Anolis sagrei: one gene and its partners. The protein of the gene in region 2 purifies or fractionates together with the protein of the main gene of each other region. This does not show direct contact. Links are inferred from orthologs where the notes say so. Each region holds a gene or a part of one and is shown on either strand. Other genes may lie near its edges.

Region 1 (10,770 bases), on a different chromosome or scaffold from region 2:
GCTCCAGGGAAAGAACGCCAGGGAAGCATTCCCACAGCTTTAAAGGTCTCCTAAGAACTCCTGGGATTCCTTCCTACAGCCTTGGGAGTTTCCAGGAAGACAGCCAACTCTACAGAATATCCATCGCCTGTCTGATAGATCCTCTCAGTGTTTTGAGAAGCAGTTCGGCCTGGCAGAGGAGTCCACACCAGTGAGGGTTGGATTTTTGTTAGCCTTGGGAGAAGTTAAAAGGGGGAATTTTCCTTTGAAGAAAGTTATTGAAGATAGTGCCTGTTCTCTGCGGACAAGTTTGAGAGAACTGATACTTTAAAGCTTTACAATTCCTGTTTGATTCATTAATAAAAGACTTTGTTGTGCCTTTTAAGCCATTTGAAGATTCCTTTTGTAAAGGAAGCCTCTGAAAACTTTTCCTAGGGCCCCTGGCTTCCCACTGGGTAAAGGTTACACATCCTATATCTAAAGTCAACTAACTATAGGCCCAGCGGTGACAGAACAGTTAGGCACCTTGAATTCCTTTAAGGAGAAAGGCAGGATATTATTATTATTATTATCATTATCATCATAATCTATATCAGAGGTCCTCAAACTTTTTAAACAGAAGGCCAGGCAACTGTCCCTCAAACTGCTGGAGGGCCGGATTATAATTTGAAGGAAAAAAAATGAATGAATTCCTATGCACACTGCACATATCTTATTTGTAATGCAAAAGGCACTTAAAAACAATACAATAATTAAAATGAAGAACAATTTTAACAAATATAAACTTAGTAGTATTTCAATGGGAAGTTTGGGCCTGCTTTTGGCTGATGAGATAGGATTGTTGTTGTTGTTGCTGTTGTTGTTGTTGTGTGCTTTCAAGTTGTTTTCGACCCTGAGCGAGGGCCGGGTAAATTACCTTGGAGGGCCGTATTCGGCCCTCGGGCCATAGTTTGAGGACCCCTGATCTATATAAATAAAATGTAATGTTCGTTTGTGGGATTAACATAACTAAAACCAACTGGACGAATTTGAACACAATACACCAGCAGGCCAGTGAGTGACCATCACTCATAAAAACAGTAAAAAAACACAGCAGTAGAGATTAAAAAAATACATTACAATGGATGTGCAAAACCACAAATATATACGCAAACATACATATATACTCACATACACAATATATATGTATACACACACACACAACACATATACACAGACTGGGCCACAGAAATGTGTGGCAGGGAAAGGCTAGTTAATGATAAATTGTTAGCCACCTTGAGTTCCTATGGGGAGAAAGGTGGGATATACATTTAATAATAATAATTTTAGCATTATCATTATTTATCATCATTTTCTGCCAATCTATATCATGAGAGCCCAAGGTGGCAGGCAAAGGCATGAAATCAATTTAAACAATAGAAACAGAATAACTTTATTGCCCTTGTACAGTGTAAAACAAAATGTTTTCCCCAGCACACATCAACAACAACACTCCCACCTCACCCTAACCGCCCCCCAATGGTACATCAATGGGAAGCCATGGAGTTCAATATAGTTACAGCTCTATGATAAAAGCTGTCTCTCAGGCTCCTTCCACACAGCTGAATAAAATCCCACATTATCTGCTTTGAACCAGGATATATGACAGTGCAAACTCAGATATTCCAGTTCAAAGCCGATATTGTGGGTTATTCTGCCTTGATATTCTGGGTTATATGGCTGTGTGGAAGGACCCTCAGTCTGTTTGTCTTTGCATACAGGACACCCATGACAATTAGATTCATCATAGTTTGTGGCAGCCACACAAACAAAGTATCTGGAGGAGAACAACTACATTCAAAGTAAGGGCCACACAATTAAACAGGAAATAACACTTTCTAGCCAGGAACAGATTTTTCTTCTCCAATTTGGTTTCAGAGTGTGATTCCAGGTGGGAAGTTCTGACCAAAGCAGGAGATCACAAGAGGGCTTTATTATGATTATTATGTTTATTATGTTTATTTATACACCACGTTTTGTCTCCACAAGGAGGCTGTGGGCCCTTCCAGACAGGCCCTATATCCCAGGATCTGATCCCAGGTTTTCTTCTTTAAACTGGATTATATAAATCTGCACTGCCAGATAATCTGGGATAAAGAGAAAACCTAGGATCAGATCCTGGGATATATGACCTGCCTTGAAGGGCCCTTCCAAACAGCCATATAACCCAGAATATCAAGGCAGATAATCCACAATATCTGCTTTGAACTGCATTATCAGAGTCCACACTGCCATATAAACCAGTTCAGTGTGGATTTTATACAGCTGTGTGGAAGGGGCCAAAGCAGCTTACATTTCAATAAAATTTCAAATCTACAAATAGATGAAACACTACAACAGAATTAAATATCATTGGTATTTCTTAAAGCAGGCATGGGCCAACTTGGGCCCTCCTTGTGTTTTGGACTTTAATTCCCACAACTCCTAACAGCCTACCTACGGGCTGTTTTCACAGCAGGAGCCTGGATTTGCTGAAGAGAAGCAGAGGACAAAGAAGGGAAGAAAAGCTCATTGAGCTGCGTTGAGGTAGAGGTGGAGGGAAGGAAGGAGGGCTGGATGCCGAGGGGAGGCTTCGGGGCTGCCTATTGGCAGCTGTGTCTTTTCTGGAAGAGTGGAGGCAAGGGATTCTCTTACCTCTGCTCTTCCAGGCAGCAGCCGCGCGCTCCCACCGCTGCCTTCACCTCCTCTGAGAAAGAAGAAGAAGTAAGGGAAGAAGAGGAGAAAGGGAGAGGAAAAAAAGAGGGAGAAAGAGAAGAGAGAAAGGAGGAGGGAGAAAGATAAAGATAAAGAGAGAGGAAAGGGGGAGAAACTGAAACGGGGAGAAGGAGAGAGAGCTTCAGGGGGAGACAGAAAGAACAAAAGGAGCTCTGCGTTAGCAGAGCCAAAACTGATTTCACTAAGACGCAGGCCTCCTCCTCGGCGGGCCGGATAAATTCCCTCGGGGGGCCGCATCCGGCCCCCGGGCCACAGTTTGGGGACCCCTGGTATAGAGCTATAGGATCAAAGCGTTGGAAGGGATTTGGGGCCCTTCCACATAGCCATATAACCTAGAATATCAAGGCAGAAAATCCCACAATATCTGTTTTGAACTGGAATATATGACCTTGAAGGAGCTGGGGGTGGTGACGGCCGACAGGGAGCTCTGGCGTGGGCTGGTCCATGAGGTCACGAAGAGTCGGAGACGACTGAACGAATGAACAACAACAATATGGTAGTATGGACTCTGTCTGATTGCCAGATAGAAAGACACAATCAAAGCCCTCCCAACAGATGGCCATCCAGCTTCTGCTCAAAGACAGTTGGAAGAGACAGGAATCCTAGAATGAGAATTATAGAACCCTCAAGTTGGAAGAGGCCCTAAGGGGTTGCCATAAAGGAAGACACCATGCAAGACCTCCCGACAGAAGACCACCCAAGCTCTGATGATAATAATAATAGAATCTAAAAGTTGGAAGAGATCCTTCTGCCAGGAAGGAAGACACAAAGCCTTCCCGACAGATGGCCATCCAGCCTTTGCCTTTAAAAAATACCCAGAAACAGGAGGCCTCCCATGTGTAGGGTCACCATGATTCAAGCTTAATGGCAGCTAGCAATAACACTGACAAGTCATGTGTCAGCAATAACCCCGCCTGGGGTACATTCACTCATGCACTTTTGACTGCCTTGGCTCCATGCTATGCCATTCCGGGATTTGTAGTTTGGTGATGCCCCGGCAGTCCCCTTTTGGCAGAGAAAGCTAAAGGCTTTGTAAGACTGTTTGTTTATTTAAAACATTTCTATTCCGCCCTTCTCACCCCAAAGGAGACTCGGGGCAGAGCACAGCATATATACGGCAAACATTCAATGCCGGGACAAGAATTTATATGCGCATACATAAACATTAAAAACATTTATCTCAATATTAAAACACACCATTTAAAACCGTCTTAGTCATCTCCGTTAAATCGGCCTGGTAATCTTTCCTATTGTTGCTTTATTGCCCTGTCCCGAAAGCTTGGTCCCACAGCCAAGTTTTTACCATCCTTCTGAAGGACAGGAGGGAGGGAGCCGATCTGATCTCACCAGGAAGGGAGTTCCATAGCTGGGGGGCAATCACTAAGAAGGCCCTGTCTCTCATCCCCACCCATCGCACCTGTGACAATGGCGGGACGGAAAGCAGGGCCTCCCTGGAGGAGCTTAATCTCCGTGATGGTTCATAGGAGGAGATGTGTTCGGACAGATAAATTGGGCCAAGTCTGTTTAGGGCTTTATAGGCTAAAGCCAGCATTTTGAATTGTGCCCAGTAGCAAACTGGCAGCCAGTGGAGCTGCCGTAACATGGGAGTTGTATGCTCCCTGTATGCCGCCCAGGGCCGTAGCCAGAAAAAAAATTCGGGGAGGGTTGACAATTTTGGGGGAGGGGTTAAAAATTTGGGGGGGGGGATTGAAAATTTCGGGGAGGGTTGACAAATTTTGGGGGGTGGGGGTGGGATTGAAACCTGCCTCCTAGCCCACGCTGAAGCAAAGAGCACAGCAGGGGGCGGAGCAGCCTTCCATAGCCTGCAGCTCCACCCCTGTCAACCACCTCCACCAAGTCTGGCCTCCTTAATGAGAGCATTCAACACACAAACCCCCAACTTGGTTGCTTCACTACATCGGCTATTGCTGCAAGTAATGACAGTGTGAATAAATTGTCAATATTTGCTTGAGATAGTGCTTACAGTTCTGGAGGGACTCTTGAGATAGTGCTTACAGTTCTGGAGGGGGGGGGTTGAACCCCTAAAACCACCCCCTCGCTACAGGCCTGATGCCGCCCGTTATTAACCTGGCTGCCTCTCGTTGGACTATTTGAAGCTTTCGAGCAGTCTTCAAAGGCAACCCCACGTAGAGTGCGTTGCAGTAGTCTATCCTGGATGTAGTGAGAGCGTGGACCACCGTGGCCAAGTCTGACTTCCCAAGGTACAGGCGTAGCTTGCGCACAAGTTTTAATGGAATCATGGAAGACTATAGCTTCCATGATTCCATAGCCTTGGGCCATGGCAGTTCCAGTGGGGTCAATTCAAATGTGTAGGTGCACCCTTTCTCTTGGACCAAGCATGGGCCAACTTGGGCCTTCCTCCAGGTGTTTTGGACTTCGATTCCCACCATTCCTCACAGCCTCAGGCCCTTTCCTTTTCCCCCTCAGCCACTTAAGCCTGAGACTGTTAGGAATGGTGGGAGCTGAAGTTCAAAACAGCTGGAGGAAGGCCCAAGTTGGCGCATACCTGGTCTAAGGCATTTCAGAGAACAAGGGATGCTCCATTGGTACCCAGTTCTATTTAGTGATGCAACCCACCTCCTGTCAATCATAGTCAGGATGGGCGGGCTCTGCCTACTCCTCTCGACCAATCGCAGACGCCCTAGAACCCCTCCTTTAGCCTTTCAGCCAATCAGAGGCAAGCCGCGAGGGCGAAGGGATCCCGGAAACAATATGGCGGCTGGTGGGAGTGAGAGGGAGGCGTGGCGGTGATGAGCGGCGGCGGCGGCGGCGCAGTGACGTCGGTGTGGCGTCACTTCCGTTGTCAGGTGGCGGAGTCGGTGCGGGACTGGCGAGACGTCGGACGGTGGCCGGCGGGGCCGGGCCCGGAGGCGGCGAAGATGGGTGAGAAGGAAAGGGAAGGCCATGGAAGAAGGCCCGGCTGGCAGGAGGGCTATCTGTCGGAAGGGCTTCCTGAAAGGGCTTGTTATTGGGTGGCCTTCGAGGCCCCTTGTCATTCCAACGGAAAAATCCAATGAGTCCCCTTCCTTCTCTGGGGGATTTAAAGCAGAGGCTGGATGGCCATCTGTCGGGAGGGATTAGATTGTGCCTTCCTATTTGGCAGAAGGGGGTTGGTTTGGATGGTTCTTGGGGTCTCTTCCAGCTCTAGCATTCTGTAATACCGTATATGTATTATATATCATGTATATCTATCTGTTATCTCTCTTTCCGACCGACAGGTCGCAGGTTCGAATCTGGGGAGAGGCGGATGGGCTCCCTCTATTAGCTCCAGCTCCTCATGCGGGGACATGAGAGAAGCCTCCCACAAGGATGATAAAAACATCAGAAATCATCCAGGCGTCCCCTGGGCAACGTCCTTGCAGACGGCCAATTCTCTCACAACAGGAGCGGTTGCTCCTGACGCAACAAAAAAATAAATCTCTTTCTCATGGCCATCTGTCGGGAGTGTTTTGATTGCGTCTTCTCACCTGATAGATGAGGGTTTAACAGTAGCCTTTGGGGTCCCTTCCAACTCAAGGATTCAGTGATAACAATATTTTTGGTGACCATGGAGTCTCCCTCTGTCTCTGGAGGTTTTAAAGCATAAGCTGGATGGAGGGATTGGATTGTGCCTTCTAATGGCACAAAGAAAAGGGTTGGACTGGATGGTCCTTGGAGTCCCTCCCAGCTCTAGGGGTTTATGTTTCTAAAGGAGAAGATGCCTCTTCGAAAGGGCCTGGCAGGTGAATGCCCTGGAGGACATAGCTGGCAGGATGGCCATCTGTGGGAAGGGCTTTGAGTGTGGAGTTGGGCTGGATGACCTTTACAGAGGGGACTGAGGTGGAGTCCTTTACGAAAGAACATGGCTGGCTAGGCGGTGGGCTGAAGTGGAGGAACAAGGTTGATTACTAGTTTAATGTTGACATGTTGCAGGTGTTTTAGATTGCAGTTTGTATTGTTTTTAGTGTTGCAAACTGCTCAAAAATAATAATAACACCATCTAACCCGGTGTTTGTCCCTGGGTTATAAATGGCATTTCCACATTGGTTCTCTCATCAACACATGTGGAAAGTTTAGTAAACTGCAAAAAATATTGTTTTTTACGGGACATTCTGCGGCACATTTTGCTATCGTTTTTCAATAAATATCTCACAGAGTCTCAACCAATTCAACCTAGTTGGGGCAGCCACAAAAACAATGTTTATGGAGTAGAACAACTGCTTTGAAAGGAAGTACCGCACAATTAAATAGGAAATAACACTTTCAAACCAGGAACTGAACATTTTTCAAATTTTGATAGCATGTGATAGCAGCAGCAGCCCAAGCTCAGTTTGAATACCAATTTTGCTGTGGTCTTAAATGAACCCAGGTGATTCTGAGTGTTCATCTGTGTGTGACCCCTTGGTTTCATTCTCCAGCACATTTGTCCTCTATATGGTCTAGTTTAGTAGCCTAAACAAAACCCCAGTTGCCAAAATAGACACCCAGCATCAGTAAAATGACCTCTAGGAAGCATGAATAGTCCTGGACTCGGGAAGATAGAAAAGGGATGAGAATATAATGGGAGGTCTTCCTACAGTGAGAGAGGGAGACCATCCATCCGCAATAAAGCCTCCTTTGTTTATTGGATCACCTTTTTGGGGAAAGAAGCACCTTCTCATTCCTCCCTAAATTGTATGTACACTTAGATTTGTAAACAAAGAAATACTGAGGCTTTCCTCGCCCCTTATACATTTACCCCTTTTGTAATGATAACACAATGTAACAAAATTTGGGGGGGGGAGTCTGTTCTTGGTTTGATGTTCTTTACAGATTAATTGTGCAGAACTTATTGGCTGCCACAAACTGAAAAATTCACTGAAAAACACTATTTGCAGTTTAATAAATATTTTCCATGTTTTTGTGACTGAACCAGTTAGAAAATAACATTTACAACCCGGGGACATAAATCGTGTTGTAAATCTCTCCCTAAAATGTGGCTGTGTCTCCCTCCCCCCCTTTAAATCAGTCTAAATCGTTTAGACCGAACAAGGTAAACAACCGGCTTTTTCTTCTTCTTCCTTTCTCTGCACTTTCTTCTTCCCAGCCACACCTCCCGTTCTTGTGTCTGCACTTCCTCCTCTTCCCCCACTTGCGCTTGCTTACTTAAAGTGTACATCCAGCCAAATATATATATAGCCCTCCCTACGCTATGCCTTCCAGAGATCATAGATAGATAGATAGATAGATAGATAGATAGATAGATAGATAGATAGATAGATAGATAGATAGATATCCGATCTCTGGAAGGCATAGGGCAGGGCTAACACTCCTGTGGAGTTTCCTTTGCTACCTGTGTCCTTGTTCAGAAGGTTTCACCTTGCTTTCTGGTCGTATAACAATTGGATTTTGAAAAATGTGGCTTGTTCTGGGAACAAGGTTTGGTGAGAAAACTTCAGTGGAGACCCCTTTTCCCCATGATAATAACTCTTCCAAGAGTGGATTTGCCTTCCTTCCAAGGGCTAGATTCCTCTCACTTCCTGTTGTCTCAGGCCTGTTCTTATCTAGGAGTTGTTTGTAAGTCAAATGTTTGTAACTCGGGGACTGCTTTTATATAGGTGCTTACAAACAGGATCAAGGAAATCCCAGGCTAAGGGACAATACATTGAAGTATAGTTTAACCATGTTATGTATTATTTTAATTCAATTTATTTAAAATTTCCATTGTATGTTTTTAAGTCACTATGGAGTGCTATATGTAAGCTGCCTTGAGTCCCCATTGGGGTAGAGAAAGGCGAGATATAAATAAGGTAAATAAATAAATAAGGGTTTTTCAGGTCTTATGCCAATGTTGGTGCATAGAAACTTCAGGTGCTGCCATTTCCCTTCAGATAAGACATTTAGGAACTGGCTGCAAGTGTGCTGATAATGTTGACTCATCTTTCAGTCATTGTTTTAAATGCTTTTGCTTCTATGCATAGTTTAATTGCAGCATATGGTTATCTTCCTGTCTTTGTATGTGCTTTTATACACATCGGGTTTCATTTTTGTGAACCTGCTGCCCAAGAGTCTGATGGAGATTGGATGGCCATTTGTAGGGAAAGCTTGGATAGTGCATTCCTATGTGACAGAATGGGATTGGACTAGATCAGGTCTCTCCCAACTCTAGGTTTCCCTTGTATTTACAGTGGCTGCTCCTCAGTGATGCCACGTGATGCTGATAGGAAGATGTGTGTGTGGGAGAGCATCTGATTTATGGGCATTATGAATATATTTGGCAAGTATATTTTCTGCTTGAGGTCTTTAATTATGGAGGAGTCAGTCAAGTTGTGAGCTAGCGATGATGGCGAAATCAGGGTGCTAAAACTCTGATTCTCATAGCCAATGGATGTGGCTTCTGATATCTCCCTGCAGTGCATGATAGAGGAGAGCATGGACAGAACAATGGGACATTGGTGCATTGGTTTGCAGGGTGATGTACCAGCAAACCCTACTGAATTATGTGACACGCCCATGTCATCAGGAATATTCCCATCCTGACCTTGGAGGTGTGCACCTGGAGAAGGGAAGGTACAGAGGAGCACAGTTTATATGCAAAAGTACATATAAAATTATATGTGCCGTGTATATGAGCAGAAACAAGCAGCAGCCCTCACTGGAGATTCTGAGCAACCTTAACCTCTCATGCCATGAGAAGTCACAGTATGATGCTAATTTTATTATTTTTTACTTTATTGAAATAATTACACTATGTAGCACAATTTTTGTTCCTGAGTTATAAATGTCATTTCCTAATTGGAAAAGGTGTATTAAACCTGGAAAAGGTGTATTAAACTCCAACATCCTTTTTTTTTTTTTTTTTGGGAAGGACATCCTGCAGCACATTTTAGGATAGTTTTTTAAAAATAAATATCTCATTGAGTCCTAACCAATTCCAACCTAGTTTTATAGCAGTCACAAAAACCAAGCTTCTGGAATAGTATAACAACTACTTTCAAAATAGGTGCCGCACAATTAAACAGAAAATAACATTTTCAAACCAAGAACAGATTCATAGAATAATAGAGTTGGAAGAGACCACATGGGCCATCTAGTCCAACCCCCTGCCATGCCATAGTATCCCTGACAGATGGCCATCCAGCTTCTGTTTAAAAGTTTCTAAGGAAGGAACTTCCACCACACTCCAATGCAGAGAGTTCCACTGCTGAACAGCTCTTACAGTTAGGAAGTTCTTCCTAATATTCAGGTGAAATCTCCTGTAATTTGAACCCATTGCTTCAAGTCCTAGTTTATAGGGAAGTATAAAACAAGCCTGTTCCCCATTCCTTATGACATACTTTCACATATTTATACATGGCTTTCGTGTCTCCTCTCAACCTTCTCTCCTAAAGGCTAAACATACCCAGCTCTCTAAGACACTCCTTATAGGACATGGTCTCCAAACCATTGATCATTTTAGGTGCCCTTCTCTGGACAGCTTCTAGTTTGTCAATCTCTTTTAAACTATGGTGGCCAGAATTGGGCACAGTATTCCAGGTGAGGTCTGACCAAACCAGAATAGAGGGGCACCATGACTTCCCTCAATCTAGACACTATACCCCTTTTGATGCAGCCTTAAATCCCATTATCTTTTTTAGCTATTGCATCACACTGTTGATTCATGTTCAACTTGTTTTCCACTAAGACTCCAAGATCTTTTTCACATGTACTATTGACGAGCCAGGCATCACCCATTCTGTATCTTTACATTTCATTTTTTTTCTGCCTAAGTGAATTATCTCTCATTTCCCCTTGTTGAAATTCATTTTGTTAGCTTTGGCCTAGCTCTCTAATCTGTTATAGTCATTTTGAATTCTAAAATAGCTTATACCCCTCCATTGCTTTTATTTATTTTGTATCAAAGGCCTTGCATAAATAAAAATGTTATAATGCAATGCTTCTGGGTTGGAAAGATTAGCTGTTTACAAGAAAGGTTGCCCAAGGGACACCCGACTGTATTTATTCAGTCTTCGAGGAGACTCTTTCTGTGGCCCCCACCCCACCCCATTGCTACATTCC
Region 2 (10,354 bases):
CTGCCCTTGCGGTGGGCGGCGGCGCAGGTGGGGAAGGGCAAGGGCTCGGCCTCCGGGTAGGTGAAGATGAAGGAGGAGGAGTAGGAGGAGGCGCACGGCGTGCAGGCCACCACCGGCGTGCAGAGCGGCTCCAGCATCATCTCCGACGCTGCCGCTGACACCGCCGCAACCCCTGCCGGGTGGGCCCCGGGCCCCATCGGCTCCCAGTCCGCCGCGTAGAAGGAGGAGGACGAGCCAGACAGGTCCACGTCCGGCACCGAACGCGAGGAGGAGGAGCGCGCGAAGAAGTCGTCGAAAGGCTCCGACTTGAGCTCCAGCAAGTTGTTGCTGCTGTTGCTGTTGCCGCTCTCCTTGGCAGGCTCGGCGCGGGGGGCCTCCGGAAGAAGAGGCAACGCGAACGCCTCTTCCTCATCCTCTTCCTCCTCGTCCTCCCCCATTTCCTGGGGCGAAGAGGCCACCGAGTGGCCCCCTCCCCCGGCCAGCAGCTCCAGCGCGGATACGGAGGCCACAGCCATCTCCTCCGGGAAGCGGAGCTCTTCGGGCACCTTGCAGGCCGGGCGGTGAGCGGCCAGGATGAACTCCAGCTTCTCCTTCTCCTTCAGCAGGTTGGCGATCTCGGTCTGGAGGGAGGCCTTCTCCTCCTCCAAGAGGTCAGTCTCCTGCAGAGAAGAGAGAGAGAGAGAGAGTCAGGCAATGGAAAGAGAGAGGCAAAGAGAACATCTGAAGGACAATAAGAGTGTCAAAGACTTGCATGGCCGCAATCACTGGGTTGTTGTAGGTTTTTCGGGCAGAATAATATTAATAATACTTTATTTATACCCCACCACCATCTCCCCAAGGGAGCAGCTTACATGAGGCCAACCCCAACAGTACAGCAAAGCATAGAGTAAAATATGATAAAATTAAAAATAAAATAAAATACAAAACAATATAAATGTATAGCCATGTTCCAGAAGCATTCTCTCTTGGCGTTTTGCCTGCATCTATGGCAGGCATCCTCAGAGGTTGTGAAGTCTGTTGGAAACTAGGAAAATTGAGTTTATGTCTCTGTGTAAGATCCAGGGTGGGAGAAAGAACTCTTGTCTGTTAGAGCTAAGTGTAAATGTTTCAATTGGCCACCTTGATTTGATGACCTGACAGTTTTTAGGTGTTGCTTGTTACTGCCTAGGGGAATTCTTTGTTATATGGTTCTGAGGATGCTTGCCACAGGTGCAGGTGAAACGTCAGGAAAGAATGCTTCTAGACAGGGGTCCTCAAACTTTTTAAACAGAGGGCCAGGTCACAGTCCCTCAAACTATTGGAGGGCCAGATTATAATTTGAGAAAAACATAATTTGAATTCCTATGCACACTGCACACATCTTAGTTGTAGTGCAAAAAACACTGAAAAACAATACAATAATTAAAATGATGAATAATTTTTAAAAATATAAACTTATTAGTATTTCAATGGGAAGTGTGGGCCTGCTTTTGGCTGATGAGATAGGATTGTTGTTGTTATTGTGTGCTTTCAAGTCATTTCAGACTTAGGTTGACCCTGAGCGAGGGCTGGGTAAATGACCTTGGAGGACCTTATCCGACCCTCAGGCCTTACTTTGAGGACCCCTGTTGTAGAACATGGCCATACAGCCCGAAAAACCTACAACAACCCATCTGGATGACCATGAAAAGGCCTAGAGCAGGCATGGGCAAACTTTGGTCCTCTGGGTATGTTTTGGACTTCAACTCCAGGCTGTTAGGAATGGTGGGAGTTGGAGTCCAAAACACACCCGAAGGGCCGAAGTTTGCCCATGCCTGGAGAGAGACAGAGAGAACCTCTGGAGGACTGGGGAAAGGCCTAGAGAAGAAAGACTCACCGATTGCAAGGTGTCGGTCAGCTCGCGTCTTCGGTTGCGGCACTTAGCGGCTGCCATCTTGTTCCTCTCACGGCGAATTCGCCGCTTCTCTTCCTCTTCTGGCGTCAGCTGCAAAAAGAGGGAAAACAGAGCTGTTAATCTCCAGAAAGAAAGAGATATAGCTCAACTCTACTTCATATTTGACTCCTAGGGCAGTGGGAGTGCATCTACAGCAGGTATGGGCCAACTTGGGTCCTCCAGGGGCTTTGGACTCCAACTCCCACCATTCCTAACAGCCTCAGGAGGCCCTTTCCTTTTCCTTAGCGGCTGAGGGGGAAAAGGAAAGGGCCTGAGGCTGTTAGGAATGGTGGGAGTTGGAGTCCAAAGCCCCTGGAGGACCCAGGTTGGCTCAAACCTGCTTAGCAGCTCCTCCTGCAGGCGTGCTGTCTCTCTGGACCTACCTGCTCGACTTTGCCTCTGCGCCCAATGCTGGTCCCTCTGCTGGCTGCCTTGACTAGTCCTGCCCTGGCAAAGGCTCCCGTCTGCGGGGCGGGCAGGCCGTAAGGGTGGCTGCGGTTCTGGGAAGGAGCCACCGAGGAGATGAGCGTAGGCTGGACCATCCATTGCAAGTCCGGGCTGGTGGAGATGGCCGTCACCGTGGGCACGAAGCCCGCGCTGGAACCCGAAAGGTCGGCGCAGAAGTCCTAAGGGAGGAGGCAAAGCAAAAAGGTCAGAGTCTCCAGAAACGCTATTTGGAGCCGCGAGGCCACCGTCGCCCGCCATCGTCAGGCTCCGCACGAGCGAACGGGGCTCAGGCTATAAATATCTCTGACGTCCGCGCTGACGCAAGCGCCGCTCCGGAGTCTCCTGAATGGAGCCGCGTTTTTATCAATGGAGCCGCTTTTTACGCGCGCGCCGAGAGCGCCCCCGCCCCTTCCCCATTCATCTTTTTTTTTTCTTTCGCGTGTCAGCAGGGGGAGAAAAAAAGAGAAAACGCCAATCACCCGCGCCCCTGCCTCTATATAACCCCATACTGAGTGGTGCCTTCCTCTGAACAAAGGGAAATATGTAGGGCGATACGGGAGATGATAATAATCATATTACTACCAATAATAAATGTCATTTGTTATTATTCCCCCCCCTTAAGACTCGTCTATACCTTCAGTAAGATTATACATTTAATTCTATGGCCAATGATGCCTTTTCTGAACAAAGGAATTGGGAATATATAGGGCACGATTATTATTTTGTATTATATTATAATATATTAATATAATATTATCATATATAACATAATGAAATAATATAAATATTATTATATCATATTGGTATATTATTATGATTATATATGTAGTATTATATATAATATAATGATATAATATAGATAATATAAATATTATATTGTATTGTTATATTATTATATAATATATGTATATATTATATAATTATATTATATTGTTATATTATATTATTATTTTATTAATACTATATTATTATTCTATCCCCTTCTAAAGGACACTCAAACGACAAGAAAGGAGCATACATCCAGTAAGTCAATATTATAATAGATTATAAGTCAATATTATATTATAATATATTATTTTATTATTATTATCCTAACCCCTTCTAAAGGAGACTCAAAGCGAAAGACAGGACCATACATCCAGTAATATTATATTATTATATTACATTATTATGTATTATATTATCCCCTTCTAAAGGAGGCTCAAAGCGAAAGACAGGACCATACATCCAGTAAGATTATATTATATTATTATTATTATTATTCTATCTCCTTCTAAAGGGGCTTCAAAGCAAAAGACAGGACCATGCATCCAGTAAGATTATATTATGATATTACATTATTATATTATATTATTATTCTATCCCCTTCTAAAGGAGACTCAAAGCAACAAGACAGGAGCATACATCCAATAAGACAATAATATTAATAGTCATAATAATATTTAATGTTCCATAAGGCTATATATCCATCAAGCATCCAATAAGGAAACATCAGCTCTTTGGAGTCCGAGCGAGGAAGGGAGAAGGGACCCACTTCGCCTGCCTTTCAAGGCGCCCCATCCAACCCCAGAAAATCTCTTCCCCGCGTCCTTCTCTCGCTCACCTGCCCGTTGACAGGCGATCCCATGCTGGAGAAAGAGTCTGCCGGAGACGGGTAGTAGGTGAGGCTGTCCCCCGCCGGAGAAGCGCTGCTGCAGCGGGAGGAAGCGGCGTCGTAGTCGGCGGCGAAGCCCTGGTACATCATCTCGGGGATTGACACAAACCCTTCCGTGTCCTTTCGGGGCGGTTCAATTCTCCCGAAAGAAGCGCCTCTCGGAGTGGCAAAGCCCGTCGTCGTCGTCTGCTGTGTCTGCTCCCCTCACTGCTTAGTTCTGCTTCTGGAGTAAAAAGAGCGGCACCTCCGCCTTTTATCCTCTTGCGGTGGGACTTCTGAATGAACGGACGTCACGACTGGAAGGTTCCACCTCGGCGGGGGGAGGCGGCGAGAGAGGGGCGGCGGAGGGACGCCCCGAAATGGGTTACTAAAGCGTGCTCGTGGCTCTCCTCGGCGACAAACCCTGACGGCGGCGTCGGGATGATTGCCTGAAGCGTCCTCCGCGGCGGGCCGCTTTTAAGAGCCGGGCGCCGCGTCAGGCTCCGCCCCCGCTCCCGAAATGGTTCGGCCCAGGCTCGGGAACCCACTGACGTAAATATCCTTATATGGCATACATCCTGTCCAAGAGGGGTGTGACTGCCGGGAAGCGCTCCAGGGCTGCGGCCAAAAGGGCTGGTGCGTGCCTGTGGCGACGGCTAGGGGGAGCGAAAGCGGCAAGAGCCGCAGCGACGGGTTCTGCATGCAGATGCTGCCCGCTTTAGTGCTGACCAGACACCCGAGGAGTGGCGCCTTAAAGGGACAGAGCACCAATTGTCCGCCAGAGCAGAGGTGGACGACCTTTGCAGGGTTTGGCCACACACAGGTCGATTTCACCTTAAAGGGTTTTAAAACCATATCCTATATAGGACACAGAATCATAGAATCATAGAATCCTTGAGTTGGAAGAGACCTCATGGGCCATCCAATCCAAGAAGCAGGAAAATTGCTCCCGACCAATAATAGTCTAGCTTGCTGTTGACCTATGCAGCCCGAAAGACAGTTGCATCTGTCAAGTAGGAAATTTAGGTATCGCTTTATGCGTTCTCGTGACTCTCCTCTGTTACAAACCCTGCTGTTGACCTATACAGCCTGAAAGACAGTTGCATCTGTCAAGTAGGAAATTTATGGTATCGCTTTATGCGTGCGCGTGGCTCGCCTCGGTTACAAACCCTGCTGTTGACCTATGCAGCCCAAAAGACAGTTGCATCTGTCAAGTAGGAAATTTAGGTACCGCTTTATGCGGGAAGGCTATTTTAACGCATTTACGATGCCATAAAACCTTCCAGCAGTGTGCAGAAGAATGAGGAAGTACTCCATCAAGGACTCCGTGTCACAAGTGGATGGTGAAGCAGCAGCTCCCCCTGTTGCCGGAATCGAGCATATCCTCATGAAGCCGAAAAAGCTGGAATGTTAAATTGCCTCTGTGTCTGTCTCTATATGTCATATGTCCAAATGGCATTGAATGTTTGCCATGTATATGTGCATTGTAATCTGCCACCTGAGTCCCTGCGGGGTGAGAAGCGCAGAATATAAACACTATAAATAAATAATAAGCAGGAAAATCGCATTCAAAGCACTCCCGACAGATGGTCATCCAGCCTTGTTTTAAAAGCCTCTAAAGAAGGAGCCTTCACCACACTCCAGGCCAGAGAATTCCACTGCTGAACACCTCTCACAGTCAGGAAGTTCTTCCTCATGTTCAGGTCCCCTCGCTCTCCTTCCAAAAGAGAAAATAATTGGATGTCTCTCATACAGCATAGATATTGGGAGTGTGGAGCTATAGAAAGGCTTCCAATGATTACTAACTGCACCAAAACACATTATAGACGAGGCATGGGCAAGCTTGGGCCCTCCCTCTAGGTTTTTTGGACTCCAACTCCCACCATTCCTCACAGTCTCAGGCCCTTTCCTTTCTCCCCACAGCCGCTTAAGCGTTTTGGACTCCAACTCCCACCATTCCTCACAGCCTCGGGCACTTTCCTTTTCCCCCTCAGTCGCTGAGTTGGAGTCCAAAACACCTGGAGGGAGGGCCCAAGTTGCAAGCAACTCCCTTTGCCATGTCTCATATCTGTCTTTGGTATGCTGAGCCAAGGTTCAATATGAGTACATAGCCACACCATTTCCAGTTCGGGTCAGCAATGTCAAGCTTACAGACATTTCCCCCCCTAACATGAGTATTAGTAATTGTGATACCAGATTGAAAATATGAGCAGATGCCTCCATTCATTTATACAGGTCCCATCGCTGCTGCTGTTTTTGTTTTGGCTTTAAATAATCTCCATCTATTTAGATCTCTGTATCATAACCCACTGGTGGTGCAGCGGGTTAAATCACTGAGCTGCTGAACTTGCTGACTGGAAGGTCGGCAGTTCAAATCTAGGGAGTGGGGTGAGCTCCCACTGTTAGGCCCAACTGCTGCCAACCTTCCTGTTTGAAAACATGCAAATATGAGTAGATCAATAGGTACCGCTTCTGCGGGAAAGTAATGGCACTCCATGCACTCAGATAAACCAGTTCAAAGCAGATATTGTGGGATCTTCTGCCCTGATATTCTGGGTTATATGGTTGTGTGGAAGGGCCCTGGGGCCTCCAATACAACTCTGTGGTCAGCTTCTGCCAGAAGTTGACTATAAAGTTACACCAGGGGGCCAGGCCCGTAGCCAGGATTTTGATTCGGGGAGGGGGGGGGGCTGAGTCTGAGTGAAAGAGGGTCTACCCTAGCAAACCTTTTGTATTGTTACCCCAATACCCCCATGCATATGGGATATATTGAGCATGGTGATCAGATCATGATACGAATAAACGTAACAGTTTAAATAATGTACCAGAAAAGCCTTTTCGCAGACCACCATGAGAATTTGGGGGGGGGGGGGCTGAAGCCCCCCAAGCCCCCCCCCCCCCCCCCCCCGGCTACATGCCTGCTAGGGGCCCATCCACACAGCCATACAACCCAGAATATCAAGTCAGATATTCCACAATATGTGCTTTGAACTGAATTATCTGAATCCACATTGTTATATAATCCAGTTAATTGTGAATTTTATACTGCTGTATGGAAGGGGCCTAGGATTTGAACCACATTGTATGGTCAGTGTAGACCCCCTATAATGCAGTTTGAACTACATTATATACAGTGACAGCATTATATGGCAGTGTAGATCTTGCTGTAACATGGGCCCTTCCACACATCCCTATATCCCAGAATATCAAGGCAGAAAATTCCACAATATCTGAGTGTGGATCCAGGGCCCTTCCACAGAATATCAAGGCAGAAAATTCCACAATATCTGCTTTGAACTGGGTTATCTGTGTCCACACTCAGATAATGTGGGATTTTCTGCCTTGATATTCTGAGATATAGGGCTGTGTGGAAGGGCCCCTATTAAGCAAATTTGTTACTAATAAAAACTGATTAGCAAAGCTGTTTATACTATGGTGTATTGTGTTGTTCTTATTATGTTGGTTTCTCTGGATATCGCAATAGAACAACAGCACAGAAATTAATGGTGAGGATGACTTCTTCAGACGTAGGCAAATATATCTTGGGAAAGGCACCCATAGAGAAGATTTATTTTCTTTTTCATTTGGGACTTTTCATTTGAACCTTTCTAGGACAAAGGTGAGCAATGACACACCTCCCAATGTGGTTGAACTGCAAGTCCCAGTTCGGCACAGCCAGTGGTGAGAAATGCTGGGAGGGGCAGTCTGGGTTAAAATGAAAAGCAGGTCTAATTAAAGGGAATCCCCATCTGACATCGCAGAGGCTGTTCAAGTTCATGCAAAGGGAAAATAAATCACTTAGGCAGAATTACGACACTTGAGTTCATTTCCAGCTGGCTCAGCATTTTACCTGGTATTAATCATGCATTCAGATGCAGGTGAAAGGACGCCAGCAATCTCTCGCATGCCATTTGCTCAAACAGTGATGGTGCAATTCTTAGCTCTGGGGTTTCAGACCCATTTCTGAGGTCACAGGGGACTCCAAAAACCCTGTTTATGTAATACCTATAATTAGGCTGACCGAAAGGTGATTGAGGCTCTCATCTACACTGCCATTAAATGCAGTTTCAGAATGCAGATGAACTGCATTGAACTGGATTATAGGACAGTGTCAACTCATACCATCCAGTTCAATCTGCATTATATGGCAATTTATGGGGCCTGTCAGACTGGATCTACACTGCCAAATATTGTAGTTTGAACTGAATTATGTGGTCAGTGTAGACCAGGCATGGGCAAATTTTGGCCCTCCAGCTGTTTTAGACTTTGGCCCCCATATTATAAAGATAGTCGAAAGGATAGAAATAGTCTCAGCTTCCAATTGCAGACAGTAACATCACATCATGTAGTCCAAGTTTCCAGTATGCCTGAAAACATCACCAAAGCAGCCACTAGTTGGAGAATGTTTGCTGATAAGAAAACAGACTTTTGAGTCACACAGAACACTTTCTTGAATTATAGGAAACCTCTGGAAGCCATCCAGGGTATTGTCTGAGCCGCACCCACACTGCAGAATTAGTGCAGTTTGATACCACTTTCAACTGCCATGGCTCCAGTTCAAGTGGAGTCAAACTGCATTCATTCTACAATTCTACTCCAGCCGGTTTCCAGTATGCTTCTGCCCTGATATGTTAGGCACTAGTTTGGTTCAGAAGATGCATGTTGTGTAAGAGTGAGATTTAATGTTTTTTCCCAAATTTTAATAGGTTGTTGGTGACTTGCATGGTTTTAATTATCTATTTTTAATAGTCCTATTTTAATGTTTATGTGTTTAGGTTTTAAATTGTATATTGTATCATTTTTAGTATTGTCAGCAGCTCTAAGTGATGAGGGAAAAAGTGGGCAATACATAATAATAGCAATAATAATAATAATAAGTAACTATGCATTTGAAAAAATATATTTCTGGTTTGAAAGTGTTATTTCCTGTTTAATTGTGTTGTACTTGCTTTGAAAGTAGTTGTTACTGTCATATACTAGGTCAGGAACACCTTTTCACCCAGCCTTTATTGGCTTGTGCCAGAGTCTTTGCAATTCTATCTTTAAATCCTGATATCAGTCAGCTTTTACAGTTGCTTCTCCTCAATCCTGCTGTTGCCTGGGATTGCAACACCTATGAACCATACTTTTTTATCCCCACAATTGTGAGGTCAGGAGTATTATGCTCCAAAATTCTGTCAGTCTAAATTCTGAATAATAATAATAATAATAATAATAATAATAATAGATCGAACTGCAAAGACTCTGGCACAAGCCAGTAAAGGTAGTCCCAGTGGTGATCGGCACACTGGGTGCAGTGCTTAAAGACCTTGGCCTGCACTTAAACACAATCAGCACTGACAAAATTACCATCTGCAAGCTGCAGAAGACCACCTTACTGGGATCTGCACACATTATTAGCCGATACATCACACAGTCCTAGACACTTGGGAAGTGTCCGAAGTGTGATCAAATTCAACAGCCAGCAGAGTGTTTGCTGTGGACTCATCTTGTTGTGTTTCTAATAATAATAATAATAATAATAATAATAATAATAATAGGTAAAGGTTTTCCCCTGACATTAAGTCCCATTGTGTCCGACTCTGGGGGTTGGTGCTTATCTCCATTCCTAAGCCGAAGAGCCAGCGTAGACAACTCCAAGGTCATGTGGCCTGCATGACTGCATGGAGCACTGTTACCTTCCTGCCAGGACAGTACCTATTGATCTACTCACATTTGCATGTTTTCAAACTGCTAGGTTGACAGAAGCTGGGGCTAACAGTTGGAGCTCACACCACTCTCCAGATTCGAACCTGCGGCCTTTCGGCCAGCAAGTTCAGCAGCTCAGTGGTTTCACCCACTGCTCCACTGGGGGCACCAATAATAATAATAATAATAATAATAATAATAATAATAATATGTTGATGGGATAGCAGACTTTTGAGTCACAGACAGTAGGTGGTGGAATTCAGCCTGTACTTGTATCTAATGTTCAGGGTACTCTGGATGTTGGGAATGACAATTAGGTTCATGTATCTAATGATGTGTCTAATGATGAGGGTGCTATTGATGGAGAATGGCAATGGGATTCCTGTTCAAAGTGTCTTTTCTGGTGAGAATGTTCCTAAAGGGTTTGGGGATGATGATATGGTCCCTGGAAGAGGGCCTGAATTGCTACCAGAGAATTCCCATGACTTTGAGCCAGCTGCAGAAATTAATGAGCCATTAGATAAAAGGCATATTTTCAGTCAGCACAGGCAAACAGACCAATCTCTCAGGCGCTCTGCCAGACTGAGAGAGAGATTGATAACAGAGACAAGGCTGAAACGAAATACATTCCTGGCCTCTTGGGACATAGAGTAGATTGGGGATAAAAGTGCCAA
Region 3 (10,541 bases), on a different chromosome or scaffold from region 2:
GCCCCCGTGCGCGCTCCGGCTTCTGCGCCCTCCTTCTCCTCCTCCCAGCTGATTTGCAGGAAGTGCGAGGAGGAGGAGAAGGAGGGTGCAGAAGCCGGAGCCCCCGCGCGCGCTCCGGCTTCTGCGCCCTCCTTCTCCTCCTCCTCGCACTTCCTGCAAATCAGCTGGGAGGAGGAGAAGGGAGGGGGCAGAAGCCGGAGCCGGATGGCGCGCGGGGGCTCTGGCTTCTGCGCCCTCCTCCTCCTCCTCCTCCTCGGGTGAGCGCGCGCAGGGGCTCCGGCTTCTGCGCCCTCCTTCTCCTCCTCCTCCTCGGGTGAGCGCGCGCGGGGGCTCCGGCTTCTGCGCCCTCCTCCTCCTCCTCCTCGCACTTCCTGCAAATCAGCTGGGAGGAGGAGGAGGAGGGCGCAGAAGCTGGGAGCGCCGGATTGGCTCCCAGGCACCAGCACTGAGTCAGCACAGCAGCCGCCATCCCATTAACGACACGAGCTGAAGCTCGTAAAAAAAATGGGGCTGCTGTTTCGATATTTTTAAACCCTTCCGGGTTTAAAAATATGTTTTGAAATCGCTTCGGATATGGTTAAAATAACGATTTAATTACGAATTAACGAATTAACGAACTAAAACCGACAGGCCTAATATCTATTTATCTATATCTATGGCTGGGTGGCTCTTTGTCAGGAGGGCTTTGTTCATGTTTTCTTGTCCTGGTGAAGGGAGTTGGACTGGATGGTCTTAAGGCAGCATTTCTCATCCTGGGGGTCAGGACCCCTGGGGGGGTTGTGGGGTCATCGAAGGCCACCAGAAAACACAGTCTATTCTGTTGGTCATGGGGGTTCTGTATAGAAGGTTTGGCCCAATTCTCTCGTTGGTGGGGTTCAGAATACTCTTTGATTGCAGGTGAACTATAAATCCCAGCAAATACAACTCCCAAATGTCAAGGTCTGTTTTCCGCAAACTCCACCAGTGTTCACACTTGAGCATGTTGAGTATTCGGGCCAAGTTTGGTCCAGATCCATCATCGTTTGAGTCCACAGTGATCTCTGGATGTAGGTGAACTACAACTCCAAAACTCAAGGTCAATGCCCACCAAACCCTTCCAGTATTTTTGTTAGTCATGGGAGTTCTGTGTGCAAAGTTTGGCTCAATTCCATTGTTGATAGAGTTCAGAATGCTCTTTGATTGTAGGCGAACTATAAATCCCAGCAACTACAACTCCCAAATGACAAAATCAATGTTTTTGAGTGATGGTCACTCGTTGGCCTGATGGGCATATTGTGTCCAAATTTGGTGTCAATTCGCCCAGTTGTCTTTGAGTTATGTCAATCCCACAAAGGAACATTACATTTTTATTTTATAGATTACCATCATATGTGTATGTTGTTTTGCATGTGCGTTGTAGCATTATTTTATTTTATATTTTTGCTTTTTAAGTCTCTTCTGCTGTATATTTCAGTGTTTTTAGGAGTGATGGTCACTTGTTGGCCTGAAAGGTGTGTTGTGTCTAAAATTGGTATCAATTTGTCCAGTGGTTTTTGAGTTATGTTAACCCCACAAACAAACATTACATTTATCTATCTATCTATCTATCTATCTATATATGCTCTGTGCATGAGTACCTTAAAAACAAAAGAACTAATGGGCAAAATCACACCAAATTTGGCAACAAAATGTCTCTCTACACAAGGAGTGACCATCAATCAAAACATTATGGTTTTGTCATTTGGGAGTTGTAGTTGCTGGGATTTATAGTTGACCTACAATCAAAGAGCATTCTGAACTCCACCAACGATGGACTTGAACCAAACTTGGCACACAGAACTCCCATGACCAACAGAAAATACTGGAAAGGTTTGGAGGGCATTGACCTTGAGTTTGGGAGTTATAGTTCACATATATCCAGAGAGCACTGTGGACTCAAACAATGATGGATCTGGACCAAATTTGGCATGAATATTCAATATGCCCAAATATAAACACAGATGGCGTTTGGGGGAAATAGACCTTGACATTTGGAAGTTGTAGTTACTGGGATTTATAGTTCACCTACAATCAAGGAGCATTCCAAACCTCACCAACGATGGAATTGGGACAAACATCCCACACAAAACCCCCATGACCAAAAGGAAATACTGTGTTTCCTGGTGGTCTTTGGTGACCCTTCTGACACCCCCCTGGTGACCCCCCCCCCTTGGTGTATTGACTTCCCAGGTTGAGAAATGCTGCCTTAAGGCCATCCAGTCCAGCTCCCTTCACCAGGGCAACAAAACAAAGCCCTCCTGACAAAGCGCCATCCAGCCATTCACACACACACATATATATATGTGTGTATATGACAGATGTATATCAAAGATTTGAAAGGGACCCCTAAAGCAAACCAGACAATCTCCACTGGCAAAGAAACAACAAGGAAGCTCCAACTGGTCCAACGGGCGGCAGCCATGATACTAACAGGAGCGGGACGCAGGGAGCATACAACCCCCCCTACTGTACCAGCTCCACTGGCTGCCGATCTGCTACCGGGCTCAATACAAATTGCTGGCATTGGCCTATAAAGCCCTAAACGGTTCCGGCCCAAGATACCTAACTGACCGCCTCTCGGCCTATGAGCCCACGAGGACTTTGAGATCTTCCGGGGAGGCTCTGCTCTCGATCCCGCCTGCTTAACAGGCACGGCTGGCGGGGACGAGAGATAGGGCCTTCTCGGTGGTGGCGCCTCGGCTGTGGAACGCTCTTCCCGTGGACATCAGGCTAGCTCCCTCCCTGTTGATATTCCGCAGGAAATTAAAGACCTGGCTATTTAAGAAGGCATTTGAACAAGAAGTGATTGGTAATTTGACCATAGGAATGGAACAACGGAAATGATACCAGATTGTGGGTTTGACGATGAGACGACACGGAATGGCTTTTGTAGTAATGTTGATGTTTTTGATGATGATGTTTTTGATGATGATGTTTTTGTTTAATGCTGGATGTGAATTTTATATTATGTCTTGAATTGTTGAATTTTGTTCTTTCTATGTTGTACACCGCTGTGAGTCGCCCCCAGGCTGAGAACAGCGATATATAAGCAAAGTAAATAAATAAAGTAAATAAAACAAAGCCCTCCTGACAAAGGGCCATCCAGCCATTCACACACACACACACATATGACAGATGCAGTACCAAAGATTTCAAAGGGAACCCCGAAAAAAGGACAATGATATGTTACATGTTCCAGAGTAGGCAAACCAGACAATCTCCACATCAACACTGGCAAAGAAACAGCAAGAAATACTGTTTACTCAGAAACATTAAGAAATCACATATATTAGAAACCAACACATTCTCATTACTTCATTTCCAGATCACCAGACTGGGCCACAGCAACGCGTGGCAGGGGACAGCTAGTATTTATATATATAGATAGATTAAACCTTGAGGAATTCTGGGAGCTAAAGGACCAAAGATGGGGCGCATAGGAGTGACCTGCAAGATGGGTGTATGTAAGGCCAAGACTCGCTGTAGCAACTGAAGAGGAGGCAGGTAAGCAATGGCTAGCCTTCTCCCCCTCCCCCGCTCCTTCCCCATCTGGGCGCCCCTCGCTCACCACACGAAGTCGTTGCTTTTGTCTTCGTAGGAGTTCAGGAGGCCATTGCAGAGCGGCGTCAGCAGTGGCCTCTTCCTGCTGCTGCTGTTGGCGCTGCCTGGGCCGCTGCTCCCAGCCCGGCCTCCCCCCGCCAGGCGAGCCAGGCCTGCACTGCTGGAGGAAGAGCCCGAGGCAGCGGCCGCCACCAAGACAGGCCGCGCAGGGGCCCCCAGCCCCACTGAGGCGGAAGAGGACGAGGCGCCCGAAGCCGCCGAAGCAGTGCCCGAAGAGGCCGAGGTGGTGACCGAAGGGGAGGACGTGGAGGAGGACCCCGGGGGAGGAGGCCCGGCCGCGGAGTGCTGAGGCGGCTGCCGGCTCCCCGACATCCCGGCTCCGGCTCAGCGCATCTCCCCCGACGCTCCGAGAGGGGAGCGGGCCGCACCAAGGCTTCCTCTCAGAGGAGGAGAAGGAAGGAGGAGGAGGACGGGCGCCTGCTTGGGAGCGCGTGCGCAGCACCTGATTGGCCCCTACGCCTGCCAGGGAGCGCGTGCGTGGCACCTGATTGGCCCCTGCGCCCGCCCTCAAACCAAAGGGGCGGGGCGGAGGCTCCCAACACCCTCCCTTCTCGTCGGAACTTGATTCAGGGGCCGGCACTGCGCGTGCGCAACCTCCATAGCGTCTTCAACGCGTCGAAGTTGTTTTTGTTTTTTTGGGTCGTCACGTCGTAACGGAGCAGGCAAAGGTCAACGCGCCTGCGCAAGAGGGCTGGACAGCGGTAGCCTAGCAACCACAGCGGCCTATCACATTTGGTCAGCGCGTGGAGGAAGGCTTGTGTTTTAGGGCTGAAAATGGTTCAAAAGTCATTCCAAAATTAGGGGACGCTGGCATTTCATAGAATCACAGAATTGGAAGAGACCTCGTGAGCTATCCAGTCCAACCCCCTGCCAAGAAGGAGGAAAATCGCATTTATTTATTTATTTATTTGCTTTATTTCTATACCGCATTTTTCAGCCTAAATTAGGCGACTCAATGCGGTTTACACAATGCAGGTTATCACAACAATAAACAGTTAAAACACATCATACACAGCAACAAAATCAACAATTATTATCAATTCATAACGCCTCGATAACAGAGCAAAATCCATTCTCATAATCCTTGTGCCATTCCTATGTTCAATTTTACCGTCTTCCTGTGTTCAGTTGCACCGTTTAGCCAAACGCTTGCTCGTAGAGCCAAGTCTTAACCTTCTTCCGAAACGCCAGCAGCGAAGGGGCCTGTCTGATGTCTACAGGTAGGGCATTCCATAGCCGAAGGGCCACCACCGAGAAGGCCCTGTCCTTCGTCCCCGCCAGCCGTGCCTGATCTTAACGTCCACGTCGGTTCATAGGTGGAGATGCGTTCGGAGAGGTAAGTGGGGCCGGAACCGTTTAGGGCTTTGTAGGCTAACGCCAGCACCTGAATTGTGCCCGGTAGCGGATTGGCAGCCAGTGGAGCTGGCTCAACAGAGGAGTGGTATGCTCCCTGAGTGCCGCTCCTGTTAACAACCTGGCTGCCGAGCGCTGGACCATCTGAAGCTTCCGGGAAGTCTTCAAGGGCAGCCCCACATAGAGCGCGTTGCAGTAATCTATACAGGATGTAACCAGAGCGTGGACTACCGTGGCCAAGTCAGACTTCCCAAGGTACGGGCTCAGCTGGCGCACAAGTTTTAATTGTGCAAATGCTCCCCTGGTCACCGCCGAGACCTGGGGTTCCAGACTCAGTGATGAATCCAGGATCACACCCAAGCTGTGAACCTGTGTCTTCAGGGGGAGTGTGACCCCGTCCAACACAGGCTGTAACCCTATACCCTGTTCGGCCTTGCGACTGACCAGGAGTGCCTCTGTCTTCTCTGGATTCAATTTCAATTTGTTAGCCCTCATCCAGTCCGACACAGCGGCCAAGCACCGGTTCAGGACCTGAACAGCCTCCTTAGTAGTAGGTGGAAAGGAGTGACAGAGTTGGACATCATCTGCGTACAGATAACACCGCACCCCGAAACTCCGGATGATCTCTCCCAACGGCTTCATGTAGATGTTAAACAACATGGGGGACAGTATTGAACCCTGCGGGGCCCCACAAGACAATGGTTGTGAGGACGAGCAGTTGTCCCCCATCAACACCTTCTGGGTACGATCCTCTAGGAAGGACCTGAGCCACTGCAAAACAGTGCCACCAAGGCCCATTCCCGCGAGGCGTCCCAGAAGGATACCGTGGTCGACGGTATCGAAGGCCGCTGAGAGATCCAACAGGACCAACAGGGACACATTCCCCCTGTCTAGCTCCCGGCGGAGATCATCCACTAAGGCGACCAAGGCTGTCTTGGTACCATGCCCCGGCCTAAAGCCAGACTGTGCCGGATCCAGATAATCCGTGTCTACCAAGAATACCTGAAGTTGTGAGGCCACCACACGTTCCAGGACTTTGCCCAAAAAGGGGAGATTGGAAACAGGATGATAGTTGACAAATTGAGTGGGGTCCAGTGATGGTTTTTTCAACAGCGGTTTTATTACAGTTTGTTTTAAGCTGGCTGGAATTTTGCCTTCCCGAAGGGAGGCATTAACCACCACTTCCACCCACTCGGCCAATCCCCCTCTGGCTTCCTTCACGAGCCAGGATGGGCAGGGGTCTAGGATGCCTGTGTTTGCTCTCATTCCTCCAAGTATCTTGTCCACATCCTCGGGTTTCACCAATTGAAATGAATCCATCAAAATCGGACAAGCAGGTGCTCGTGTTACATCCTCAGAGACTGCCGTTAACATGGTATCCAGGCCAGAACGGATCAAAGCGACTTTGTCCGCAAAGAACTGAGCAAATGCTTCACAGCGGGCCGTTGAGTTGTCAGGGTTCCCCTCCGGAGTGGTGTGGTTTAATAGACCTCTGACAACTCAAAACAGCTCCGCCGGACGGTTCTTTGCGGACGCAATATTGGCCGCAAAGAAAGATTTCTTTGCCGCCTTTATTGCCACGGCATATGCCCTTAGAAGCACCCCCGACAGATGGCCATCCAGCCTCTCTTTTAAAGCTTCCAAAGCTTCCATTTTATATTGCTTACTGTGTTGTTGTTGTTCATTCGTTCAGTTGTTATTTATTTATTTATCGTGTCATCAGCAGCCATACCATTGTATTACATTTGTAACAGAACCAAACAAACAAACATTAAAAAAGGAAAAAAATTGTAAACTTGGTAGTTGATTAAATGTCCTTTGACCAGTATCTGGCCACTTGGAGTGCCTCTGGTGTTGCCTTTCCTGAAGGTCCTCCATTGTGCATGTGGCAGGGCTCAGGGTGCATTGCAGCAGGTGGTCAGTGGTTTGCTTTTCTCTGCACTCGCATGTCATGGATTCCACTTTGTAGCCCCATTTCTTGAGGTTGGCTCTGCATCTCGTGGTGCCAGAGCGCAGTCTGTTCAGCGCTTTCCAAGTAGCCCAGTCTTTGGTGTGCCCAGGAGGGAGTCTCTCATCTGGTATCACCCACGGATTGAGGTGCTGGGTTTGAGCCTGCCACTTTTGAACTCTCGCTTGCTGAGGTGTTCCAGCGAGTGTCTCTGTATATCTTAGAAAACTATTTCTTGATTTAAGTCGTTGACGTGCTGGCTGATACCCAAACGGGATGAGTTGGAGATGTTACCTGCTGCAATGCCTTGGTCCTTTCACTATTGGCTGCTACTTCCCGGCGGATGTCAAGTGGTGCAACAGTGGCTAAGGAGTGTAATTTCTCCAGTGATGTAGAGCGCAGACGCCCCATGATAATGCGGCATGACTCATTAAGAGCCACATCCACTGTTTTAGTGTGGTGAGATGTGTTCCACACTGGGCATGCGTACTCAGCAGCAGAGTAGCACAGCACAAGGGCGGATGTCTTCACTGTGTCTGGTTGTGATCCCCAGGTTGTGCCAGTCAGCTTTCTATGATATTGTTTCTAGCACCCACTTTTTGCTTGATGTTCAGGCAGTGCTTCTTGTAGGTCAGAGCACGATCCAAAGTGACTTCCAGGTATTTGGGTGTGCTGCAATGCTCCAGTGGGATTCCTTCCCAGGTGATCCTCAGAGCTCGGGATAATTGTCTCTTCTTAAGGTGAAAGGCACATGTCTGTGTTTTAGATAGATTAGGGATCAGTTGATTTTTCCTGTAATAGGCAGTAAGAGCACCTAGAGCTTCAGAGAGCTTCTGTTCAACCATCTCAAAGCTCCCTGTTTGAGTGGTAATGGCACAATCATCAGCATAGATGAAACTCTCTGTCACTTCTGACAGTGGCTGGTCATTTGTGTAAATGTTGAACATGGATGGGGCCAGCATGCTCCCCTAAGGTAGGCCGTTCTTCTGTTTCCGCCATCTGCTTCTCTGGCTCTGGAACTCAACAAAAAAAGCTCCTGTTTTGTAGCAGGTTTCCTATGAGGCGCGTGAGGTGGTAGTCCTTTATGATATTATACATTTTTCTCAGGAGGAGGCGGTGGTTCACAGTATCATAGGCTGCTGACAGATTTATGAAGACAGCTCCTGTGATCTGCTGCCTTTCAAAGCCATCTTCTCTGTGCTGAGTCAGGTTCAACACTTGCAATGTGAAGCTTTTGCCTTTCCTGAAGCCAGCTTGCTGTGGAATCAGACAGACGTTTAACGACTTAAATCTAGAAATAGTTTTCTAAGATCTACAGAGACACTCGCTGGAACACCTCAGCAAGCGAGAGTCCAAAAGTGGCAGGCTCACACCCAGAACCTCAACCAATGGCTGATACCCAATGAGAGACTCCCCCCTGAAAACTGGGCAACTTGGAAGGCGCTAAACAAACTGCGCTCTGGCACCATGAGATGCAGAGCCAACCTCAAGAAATGGGGCCACAAAGTGGAATCCACAACATACGAGTGTGGAGAAGAGCAAACTACAGACCATCTGCTGCAATGCAACCTGAGCCCTGCCACATGCACAATGGAGGACCTTCTTATAGTAACACCAGAGGCACTCCAAGTGGCCAGATACTGGTCAAAGGACATTTAATCAACTACCAAACTCGCAAATTGTGTATTTTGTCTGTTTGTCTGTTTTGTTATGTTAGAAATGTAATGCAATTGACTGGTTGCCCTGACACGACAAATAAATATTCGTTCAGTCGTTTCCGACTCTTCGTGACTTTATGGACCAGCCCACGGCAGAGCTCCCTGTCGGCTGTCACCACCCCCAGCTCCTTCCAGTCAATCCAGTCACTTCAAGGATCCCATCCATTCATCTTGCCCTTGGTCGGCCCCTCTTCCTTTTTCCTTCCATTTTCCCAAGCATCATTGTCTTCTCTAAGCTTTCCTTTCTTCTCATGATGTGGTCAAAGTACTTCATTTTGGCCTCTAGTATCCTTCCCTCTGATGAGCAGTCGGGCTTTATTTCTTGAAGTATGGACTTGTTGGATCTTCTGGCGGTCCAAGACACTCTCAGCATTTTCCTCCAGCACCACAGTTCAAAAGCATCTATAAAAATAAAAATAATAATAATAATAATAACAACAACAACAACAACAACAACAACACTTTATTTGTACCCCGCTACCATCTCCCCAAGGGACTCAGTGCGGCTTACATGAGACCAAGCCCAAATACAACAATACAAGCAATAATAACAACAATACAAGCCATTAAAATAAAAACGCAGTGCCCAAACACGAATCACGGAACATGAAAGGCACTGCAGACTACTTCAACCAGAGAAATCAGCCATAGCAGAGCACCTGATGAACCAACCTGGACACAACATATTATTTGAGAACACAGAAATGCCGGACCACTCTAACAACCACCATGTCAGACTACACAGAGAAGCTACTGAAATACACAAGCATGTGGACAATTTCAACAGAAAGGAGGAAACCATGAAAATGAACAAAATCTGGCTACCTGTATTAAAAAACTCTAAGATTACAACAGCACAACAACAGAGAGGAAACAAACAAGGACATCTAATCACCTCTCAACAAAAGTTTGCTCTAGGCACTGTCAGGCCATTATATGCTAATCAAGGTGGTCAGTTGAAACATTCACACCTAGCTCCAGCAGACAAGAGTCCTTTGTCTCACCCTGGTCATTCCACAGATATATAAACCCATTTTTCTAGTTCCAACAGACCTCACTACCTCTGAGGATGCTTGCCATAGATGCAGGCGAAACGTCAGGAGAGAATGCCTCTAGACCATGGCCATATAGGCCGAAAAAACCTACAACAACCCGGTGATTCCGGCCATGAAAGCCTTCGAAATACCGTCGAAGCCGTTCAGCAGTGGAACTCTCTGCCCCGGAGTGTTGTGGAGGCTCCTTCTTTGGAGGCTTTTAAACAGGCTGGATGGCATCTGTCGGGGGTGCTTTGAATGCAATCTTCCTGCTTCTTGGCAGGAGGTTGGACTGGATGGCCAATGAGGTCTCTTCCAACTCTGTTATTCTATGAATCCCTCTTGTCCTTTGCTGAATGAAGCATTTGTTGGATTTTCTTAGTGGCCCTATAGATAGTTTGTAGGTTGTGTTTCTTCATCAACTCTTTGCAGTCAGTGGTTTCCTTGTCGTATGGTACGAACACTTTTCCTCTGGGTGGATCTTTGTCTTTACTCTCATGGCTTGTACATGGTCTTGCAGCTCTTTTAATGTCTGTGGTGGAATATCCATTGGCCTGTAGAGCTCCGTTTAGGTCGTTCAGTTCACCTTGGAGGAAGAGGGCTTCACAGATTCCTTTTGCACACTCTGCCAGGGCTTTAATCGTGCTTCTTTTTTGACTTGAGTTATGGTTGAAGTCTTTATGTAGGTATCTATCTCTGTGTGTAAGTTTTCTGTAAACTGTGCGGCCCAATTGTTGATTGGGTTTGCAGATGACTAGGACATCTAGAAATTGCAGTTTTTCTTCATTTTCTTTTTCCCCACGATGAAGTGGATGTTTGGGTGGATGCTGTTGAGGTTTAGGTCTTCTT

The links.
Region 1: the proteins of FOS (region 2) and STK40 purify together in Homo sapiens (affinity purification with mass spectrometry; 3 studies listed by BioGRID and IntAct, counting the BioPlex papers as one, with this or other methods). This does not show direct contact. The link is inferred for Anolis sagrei from reciprocal best matches to the Homo sapiens genes FOS and STK40.
Region 3: the proteins of FOS (region 2) and COP1 purify together in Homo sapiens (affinity purification with mass spectrometry; 4 studies listed by BioGRID and IntAct, counting the BioPlex papers as one, with this or other methods). This does not show direct contact. The link is inferred for Anolis sagrei from reciprocal best matches to the Homo sapiens genes FOS and COP1.

The regions. Positions count from the first base shown.
Region 1 is NC_090034.1:85,122,389-85,133,158, reverse strand, and holds the start of STK40 (serine/threonine-protein kinase 40), read left to right. Parts: upstream 1-5,524; 5' UTR 5,525-5,633; coding exon 5,634-5,637; intron 5,638-10,770. UniProt on the Homo sapiens protein: May be a negative regulator of NF-kappa-B and p53-mediated gene transcription.
Region 2 is NC_090021.1:305,109,365-305,119,718, reverse strand, and holds the start of FOS (protein c-Fos), read right to left. Parts: upstream 4,434-10,354; 5' UTR 4,104-4,433; coding exon 3,963-4,103; intron 2,539-3,962; coding exon 2,296-2,538; intron 1,964-2,295; coding exon 1,856-1,963; intron 660-1,855; coding exon 1-659. UniProt on the Homo sapiens protein: Nuclear phosphoprotein which forms a tight but non-covalently linked complex with the JUN/AP-1 transcription factor. In the heterodimer, FOS and JUN/AP-1 basic regions each seems to interact with symmetrical DNA half sites.
Region 3 is NC_090024.1:128,576,834-128,587,374, reverse strand, and holds the start of COP1 (E3 ubiquitin-protein ligase COP1), read right to left. Parts: upstream 4,050-10,541; 5' UTR 3,952-4,049; coding exon 3,587-3,951; intron 1-3,586. UniProt on the Homo sapiens protein: E3 ubiquitin-protein ligase that mediates ubiquitination and subsequent proteasomal degradation of target proteins.